2 linked regions of the Drosophila melanogaster genome follow. Changing the gene in region 1 together with any one later gene gives a genetic interaction. Each region holds a gene or a part of one and is shown on either strand. Other genes may lie near its edges. The genes, in order: Fur1 and trk.

The links.
Region 2: of Fur1 (region 1) and trk, changing one enhances a phenotype caused by changing the other (phenotypic enhancement), as found in Drosophila melanogaster (one study listed by BioGRID).

Annotation. Positions count from the first base shown.
Region 1 is NT_033777.3:25,470,026-25,475,325, reverse strand, and holds the start of Fur1 (furin 1), read left to right. Parts: upstream 1-2,267; 5' UTR 2,268-2,844; intron 2,845-5,300. Other genes in the region: Vps33B (vacuolar protein sorting 33B), read right to left, coding at 1-1,157, 1,222-1,540, 1,598-1,698, 1,754-1,810. UniProt on the Drosophila melanogaster protein: Furin is likely to represent the ubiquitous endoprotease activity within constitutive secretory pathways and capable of cleavage at the RX(K/R)R consensus motif.
Region 2 is NT_033779.5:10,270,827-10,274,382, reverse strand, and holds trk (trunk), read left to right. Parts: upstream 1-2,058; 5' UTR 2,059-2,173; coding exon 2,174-2,881; 3' UTR 2,882-2,926; downstream 2,927-3,556. Other genes in the region: Utx histone demethylase, read left to right, coding at 1-218, 278-417, 501-920, 977-1,186, 1,261-1,387, 1,477-1,671; Mulk (Multi-substrate lipid kinase), read right to left, coding at 2,927-3,556.

The sequences.
Region 1 (5,300 bases):
TCAGCACTATTGATTTTCAGCAAAATGGAGCAGAGCTGAGCCACCAATGGTATGTAGGTGCCATTGAACACAAAACTGGGACAGGTCTGCAAGCCACTGGATTGGCTCTTGGAGGAGGAACCTCCATCCTGACCATCTCCACTGGAGGTCAACAGCTTTAGCCGATTAGCATTGGCCTGAAACTCCGTTTGCTGGAACTTGGGCAGAGGTAGATTTGAGAGCAGTTTCGTTGGCGCCTTTTTCTCCACCACAAGTGGTGGCAACAAGCCCGCCTGCGACAACTGCTGGAACACGCCCAATTCCTGGTGTCCAAACAGATTGCAGTAGTTCCGCGCAAATATCTGCAGCTCCTCGGGCGCCACGCCAACGCAATGATGCAAGAGGCACAGCAGTCGCAGTGTATTAAATCTCTGACCATCTGTGGTCAACAGCTCGTCGATCTCGCTTAGCAATCGCTTTCTTGAATCATTGTTTAGTATGTCCTCCTCCAGCGTTTGGAGCTTCCTGAAGTTACCCATCATTTGGATCACAATCTCGCTGGCATTCAGATGCCTAAGGACTTTGCTCTTAAGCTCGGTTAGTTTGGGTAGCTTCCTGGCCACATAGTCATGCATCTCGTCCAGCTGCATGTCATTGAGTTTCTGCAGTTCCAAGCCCAGGGCTTTTACTTGTGCGTGAATCAAACTGCTGACCTGAGCAAATCGTTTGTACCGATTATCGCCGTAGATCTCATCGGATGTGGAGTTAAGACGAATGGAACACGGCTTGCTGGCTGAGTTTACGCCTATCTTGGATTTCTTTCCCTGGAGTAACTCCACACGCTGGCTGCGGATCTTGTTCTTGGAATTGTCTACCAGAATCTCGCCAGAACTATGCTCGAAAACTTCCAAGAGAAGACCTGCATAGATGGCCGGAGTGAGCAAGCTGGCGGGGTAATCCTTATCCCGATCGATGACCAGCCAGCCGCCATAGTCTGGAGGATTTGTGGGCGCCGGAAGTTTGCCAAGAGTCTTCGCCATTTGCATTAGCTGCGACGAGTGGTGGCCAAAGCTCAGAATCAAAGACGGTTGTCCGCAAATCATCTGAAGCAATCGCAGGCTCTGGGCCACCGCAGGCAATGGAGATGTGTTCTTCTGCAGGTAGAGACACTCGTAAAGCTGAATAATAAGAATATCCAGTATAAAAGACTCTTTTCTGAATGTTCAATGTACATCTACTCACATTGGGCAGCTCCAAGCTGAGAACTCCCTGATCAAAATAGATGAAGTCCCAGTTAAAGTGATGAAGTTGCACCAGTCCGTACAAACCAGCCTGTTCCAGCAGGGTTTGAAAATAGGAGTAACAACTGGGCACACAGACTATGTGATACATTTTCATGGAGATGTCGGGCATTTCCTCTGAGGCCACGGGTTGCAATTGCTTGAGAAGTGTCTGAAATGTACCCAAAACACTGCGGATCATGTAGATGTGCACCTGATCGGCGGATCGGGGCAAAGATTGTGCCGCATCATGTTTGTAGATCCGTTGTATGCCCTTCAACCTGTTAAGGGGTATATATAAGACGTAAATATCCATAAAATATGGATTAAACACCTACTTCAGCCAGGAGGCAGTGACAACATGTTCCAGTGGCTTTATCAAGTCGGGCTCCAAAATTAACTCCTTCTTTCCAGGTATGCTACATAGTATGGAACAAAGCTGCAGTCGAATTGCAGGTAGTTAATAGTTTCACTCTTCCGATTCATTATTATACCTTTTCTTGTGCCACCAACTGGAATCCCTGCAGCTTTTTGTCCAGCGTCAAATCCATTCTTCGCCGCACAACACAAACAGCTGATGCAGCAAGGTAGCAAAATGTAAGGTGACGCACGCAAAATAAAATAGGGTTGTCACAAAGCAAATATATGCAGTTTTTATTACGTAAATGTTTATCGCAGTCAAAAAAGCAGTATTACTAGTTATTCTATACAATACATTAAACAAAAGCTATACTCAAATTAATTATTTTGAACTTATGCTACTACTGACGTCACAAAGTGTTGAGTCACCATTAAAAGCATTAATTGTGCACAGTCTTAATTCCTGCCGATCCAAAACTTATTTTCAAAGTTCGAGCTATCCGGTTTGTTAAACAAAAGTACTTAATCTACTGCTCAGTTTGATTGCATACCACTGTGCGAAGGCTGTTCGCTCACGAACTATCGAACCGGTTCGCCATGCGTTCCCATCTTTAGACGGGTATTTAAGCGCGATTCGCTGCAAAAGTGGCAGTTTCGTTCCAAATTCCGAAGCGAGAGTTTGTCGTGGGAAGTTGTTGCGCGCGCCCTGTTCGCATTTATGTGTTTTTATCGTGATTCCGTCAACCGAAATCATATGTTTTTAGCCAGGAGAGAGACGATTGCCAAAACAGCAGCAAAACGGGCGGAGTTCTGCGGTGGAAAATCGAAAATTAGCAAGCGCACGGAACACACTGTGATTGGAGCGAATTAAATGTGAATCAAAATATGGTTAGCCATTCGAAAAGCGTGTAATAAAATCGTGAAGAAAAACCAGAAAACAAATTTGTTATCGCTCTCTGTCTCTTTCTCTCTCCCATTCTCGCTGCGATTTGCTCTCCGTGTGTTTATGTCTCAGCTGTCCAAGTGTGTGTGCGGGTGTGTGTGACGTATGTGCGTGCAAGTGTTTGTGATTTTATGTTGTTGTCTTGCCTGCTTTCGCGTGAAATTCAACAACAACAACAACAGCAGCGGCAGCAACAACAAGCAAAGCAACAGCCAACAACAAATTTAAATTGAGATTTTCCATATTATCAAAAGTTACAGGCGCCTATTTTGCAGTTATCAGGTGAGCTTGCACTTACATTGTTTATAAATAATTTGGGTTTGGCGCATGTGGGTGAAACTGTGCAAAAATATGTGAAATATTTAATCTAATGACAAAAATAGCCGTGCGGTCTGGTTTGTTGTTGTTATTTTGGGCAATTGCAGCTTGTTGCATGTTCTCGTCTTCTCTTTTGTGCCGCAGATTCGTCTCTTTTTTACCGCTCTCTCCTTCTCACTCTGTCCTGCTTGCAGTTGTACATTGTTGCCTTTGTCAATCATTATCTTTGTGTTTTCGCTTCGTTCTGTTTTTGTTTTAGTGGCTAACATTATTTTCTTATAGTCCGTGTGTGTGTCTTCTTCGCGTTTTCTTTGCGGTTCAATTGTTGTTGCGATACCGGTTTGAGCAGCTGTCTCGCTCGGGCACGCTGCACAGGTTGCTGTTTAGATTACTTTTAATTTTTCTATTCTTTGCGCTCCCGTGCCTTCTAATCGCATCTTCTTCTTCGTGCTCATCTTTCTAATGCCCGTTTCTTATTGTTGTTGTTCTTGTTGCCCCTCCCAATTATGCTTTATTTGTTTGTATTTCCCTCTCTCCCATTAAAAATAAGTTTTTGCCATGGGTTTTATAATTTATTGGCCTTTCGATTTATTTAAAAGTTTAATTTTTGCCCAGACTGTTCAACTTTTGCTAATTGCCTACAAGTTTTAAAAGGTTTTTAAGTAGTTTAGCTTAGAACAGGTTTTGCAACAGTATGTTTTGTTAGGAGAGTCACGTTAGAATGTTTCAACTATATATGATTTTTTTTAATATTTATTGTTTTATAATTGAAAGCATAAATAATGTAAAATTTGCGTTCATATTATTTTTCTTTTTATAATTGTAGGTTTGCTCTCGAAAGTGCGAGAAATTTTAAACATGAATCATCATTTCAGAACTAAACAAATCTTAAGAGATTTGTTTGTATTGCATAAAATACAAACAATTTGATTTTCTTGTGCTGAAATTAGTATTACTGCTTAGTTTCACCATTATATACTAGATATAGAAAAAATCATTAGGATCCGCTTTAGGAATAAATCTAAAAGCAAGTTAATTATCTTTACTTGAAATGAATTTTTATTCCGACTAATGCGACATTTTATTATTACTCATAAGAGTGGTTAATCGTTAGTTGGATTAAAGAAGATGTGGATTCCCGTTAATGGGAAATTCCGCTGAGTTTATCGAGGCCATCGGCGTTTCTCAATTCGATTTCCAGTCCGAGATGCGCTCTTCACTCGCTTAATAAAAACAATAATAAGCTGAAAGCAAAGCAAATCGAAATAATTCATTTGCATTTACATAGGTAAATAAACAACACCATCACCCGAAGGTGATTCCAATCCCAATTCCAATCGCACCCCCATAAATTCTCTTGCCAAAGTTCGGCACTAATTAAAACCTGAAACAAATTACACATCTACGGGAGAAGAAAACGAAACAAGAACTCGTGCAAACAGCAATGATTTTGAAAAAGAAAGCAGAAAGCATTTTTGCAACGTGCGTTGCTATTCGTTACCCCCCACCCCCTCCAAAAAATTTACCCAATCCCCAAAAAGATTCTCGTTTTGGTTCGCTGTGTGGAGGAGGCGTGTGAATTTTCGTCGGTTTGATGTCTGTTTTTGCTCTGCTCATTTCCACGCTCACACATCAAACCCAATTAGTATTGTTCTTCTGTTGGCATATGGCAAATATTTCCATTTGTCTGTTTGTACACATATAAATTGCTTTGTATTAGCTTCGTTTCACTCTCTTTTTCGATCTCTGGTGTTTGGCGTAAGTCTGTTTAAAAATGTAATTATTCCCATACTTGGCGGGTTCTATTTTTGGGCAGCATTTTCGGTACATTTTGACACATGTGTGTGTTGGAAAAATGCGATTGAAGTTTATTCTTACGTTTTTTGAACATTTGCCAATACTGCGTCGCTTTTTAGCTGATTTGTGTGCTAGTTTGGTAACGAATTCATTTTACATGATTAGGTATTTTTAATTTGTATATTTCTTTTACAATATTTTTAGACCCAAAAAGTGAGTACATATATGCATGTACATTTAAAGAAAAGTGAGTGCTTTATTTTAGCACACTCATCAAAAAACCGCAAACAATCGCGGCAATTCGCACTCATGCGTTTCTTTACGTTAGGGTGACTCACTCGACTCACTCGAAGACAAGACAAGTAACAAAGAATTGTTCATTCTACGGCATTCTTCGCTCTTCGGCTTTCATCATTTCTTTGGGACGGACGCACTGAGCCATGTTTGTTTTTCTTGCGCCGAACCAGAATGGCGAAAGTGAACCCAACTCGAGTTGGGAGACACAATGGATATATGTTGGGGATGTAGAATCTGGGATGGATGACTTGCTCTGACGTACAGATAGTGTTTGTGTGTGTGGTTTGCCTGCCTTGAGCAAAGTATTTTGGCGCGTGTCCAAGTAG
Region 2 (3,556 bases), on another chromosome or scaffold:
TCTTGAAGCTAGATCTCGGTCTCTTTTCGACCAAAACGTTGGTGGAAGCCAACCCGGACCATAGTGTTGAGGTTCGGACACAAGTGCACCAGTCTCCCGATGAAAATTGGGACACTTCGCAGGGTAAGCGCGTCTGGGCCTGCATTTCCCATCGGTCTCACACAACCATAGCCAAATATGCCCAATATCAGGCATCCAGTTTTCAAGACAGCTTGAAGGTAATGTTCGTTGGGTTGGTTCCTCTTTAACATGAATACAAGTTTACTTTATCGTGTAGCTTATTTTACCGCAGGATGAAAGCGATAAAGGTTTCCCCGGCTCGCAAGCAATGTCGGATTCAGACTCAAAGGACTCGGTATCCAATTCGAACATTGTTCTCAAACGTAAAAAACACAAAATAAACAGCAAAATGTTGAGGTAATAGAAACTCCAAACCATTTATGTCTGCATTACGAACTTTATGAACATAAATTAAATGCTTATTTCGCTTTTTTTTTTAGGTTCGGGACCAACGTGGACCTCTCCGATGAAAAGAAATGGAAACCACAATTAACAGAGCTACAAAAACTGCCAGCTTTTGCGCGAGTTATATCCGCTGCCAATATGCTATCACACGTGGGCCACGTCATTTTGGGCATGAACACCGTTCAGCTGTACATGAAGGTGCCCGGAAGTAGGACGCCTGGCCACCAAGAGAACAACAACTTCTGCTCAATCAACATCAACATCGGTCCTGGCGACTGTGAATGGTTTGCCGTCCCTGACGCCTACTGGGGCGGAGTTCACAATCTTTGCGAGAAGAACAACATTAGCTATCTGCACGGCTCGTGGTGGCCCGTCCTGGAGGATTTATACAAGGAGAATATACCAGTTTATAGATTTATACAAAAGCCCGGTGACTTGGTTTGGGTGAATGCCGGGTAAGCACTGAATATGAAAGGAAGGATGATGTATTAACAATCAAACCTACTTTCAGATGCGTCCATTGGGTTCAGTCGATCGGTTGGTGCAACAACATTGCGTGGAATGTTGGACCCTTGACTGCCCGTCAGTATTCTCTTGCCATCGAGCGATATGAGTGGAATAAAGTGCAGGCCTTCAAGAGCATTGTGCCGATGGTGCATTTAAGCTGGAATCTTGCAAGGAATATTAAAGTGTCTGATACCAAACTTTTCGAGCTGATAAAGTGAGTTAGCAAATGATAGGAATCACCATTATGCAGATACTATAGGGCATACATATGTAATTTGTAATTTTCAGAATGTGTTTGCTGCAAACGTTGAAAAACGTATTGCACATACAAGAGTATGTCAAATCGAAAGGTGTGGAAATACGTTTCAATGGACGCGGAAAGAACGAAGCATCCCATTACTGCGGACAATGCGAGGTATTTAGCGTAGTATTATTAACATATTTATACAGTTTCCAAAGGTGATATGAATGCAGTTTATTTAATCATTTGTGCACTCTTTGCAGGTTGAGGTTTTCAATGTGCTGTTCATCAAGGAGCAGGAGAAACGACATGTGGTCCACTGCCTATCGTGCGCGCTGAAGCTATCTCCGTCGCTCCAGGGAATCGTTTGCCTGGAGGAGTATCGTCTGTCTGAGCTGCAGCGCGTGTACGATTCGTTTACTTTACACAGAACCCAAGGACTAGCATACACTCAGTAGTTGTAATACGAGGAATCATTTTAAGTAATGCAGATTTAATATATGTATATTTTACAACGTACAATATACTCTCTATTGTTTTGATAAAACATAACGGTACGAATATATAGAGATGGGATTTTTCGAATAAAGCCATCAGAGCAGTTTTTTCGGCTATTATGTTTGATAGTCGAAAAAACTGGAGCCCACTTGAGTAGCGAAACTTACCTTATGATGACAATTTTATTATGACTTCAAATATTTAGACCCATCTTTTATAGTTTAATTTAAAAAAAAAAACTTTAAATTTATCCAAAGTTTAGAATGCGTTTTAATTATATATATGAATAAATTTAATTTATAATCTTTCGCAATGACACTGAAATTAAAATCCTTCTTTTTATTGAATTGGCTGTTATTACTTTAGTACCTAAATAAGTTACAGTGTAGAGAGCAACGATAACTGCTGTAAACACGATAAATCAATTGGTTGATATTGGTGTAGCCCTGTTTTTAGCCAGCCATGTTTCTGCGTATACTGTGTCCAACTATGAAATCCCAAAGTGAACTGGCCATTGTGCTCACTTGGTTGGCAGTGCTGGGGACGGCTCAAGATGATGCCGATTACTGCGCCGAGCTATCCACGCAGTCGCTGGCCAAAATTCTGGGACAGGCATTTAATCCGCGCTACATGAGCATCGATCCGCCGGGCGAGCCCGAGGAGAAGAGCTATCATCTGGGATACAAGCGATCGTCGTACGAGCTGCCCTTCTATGCGGACAGTGATGCGATTTCGGTTAGCCACTTTCCCGCCTGGGAGACCAACCACTTTGCGCTGGTAGAGAAGAAGAAGGAGGCACCGAGGAGCAAGAGTCTGCGCACGAGAAGCGCCTTCATGGATCGTGTGGGACATCCGAGAATCGATGGGTTCAAGCAGCGGCCGTGGGAGTGCTCGTCGAAGATCAACTGGATTGACTTAGGCTTAAATTACTTTCCACGCTATATCCGTTCGATCGAGTGTATTGCCAGAAAATGTTGGTATGATCACTTTAATTGCAAGCCAAAATCATTTACAATAAAAGTACTGCGCCGTAAAACTGGCTCATGCATTCGAATAAACGATAAATTGATTTTGATCACCGCAGAGAAGTTTGAGAATGATTATACGCAGCTCTGGATTTGGGAAGAAATAGCGGTTAACTTTTGCTGTGAATGTGTTATGCTATACTAGTAGCGCCATTTAATCAAGATTTAATTAATATACACGTTTAAAATGTCAACAAAAAACTTTAATAGCATTGGGAACAACAGATACCTTAATGGGTCTTGCATCGTACTCCTCGCCATCGATGGAGTAAAACTTCTCGCCCATTTCACCATCCGGATGCAGTTGAATAGTCCTGCTCTTAACCACCAAGCTGGGTAAAATTTTGCTGCACGTGACTTCCGGAATTTGTTTGATAAACTCCCAGCCCGGCTGCAGGGAGCTTATAAACTGACTTTCCAGCTCCGCAAAGTTATCCTTGTTCTGAACACAATTGATGTTAATCTGGCTGGCTTCAGCGCTTCCCTCGAACTTCTTGCTGCAATTGTCGTTCTTGACGAGCGGCCTCTTGGTTTCACCCGGATTATTCTTGTACTTAATGAGGCCTCTGGTGAAGAGGCCAGAAGGCTGGGCGGTCTCCTGGCGCTGCACAGTAGCAGCACAGTCAACGCAGCCAGGACACGGCGGTGTGTACACATAGTCGGTCTTAAGGCTCCAGTTATCGGCAAAGGACTTGGACGCAGCGGAAGCGTAGTGTCGCAGTGGTCCAAAGTACCAGTACTTATCCTTTGCCGCATCGATGTCCTCCAGCAGACCCCAGGACAGACCATTAAGACCGAATATGGGCTTCAATTGGCTATT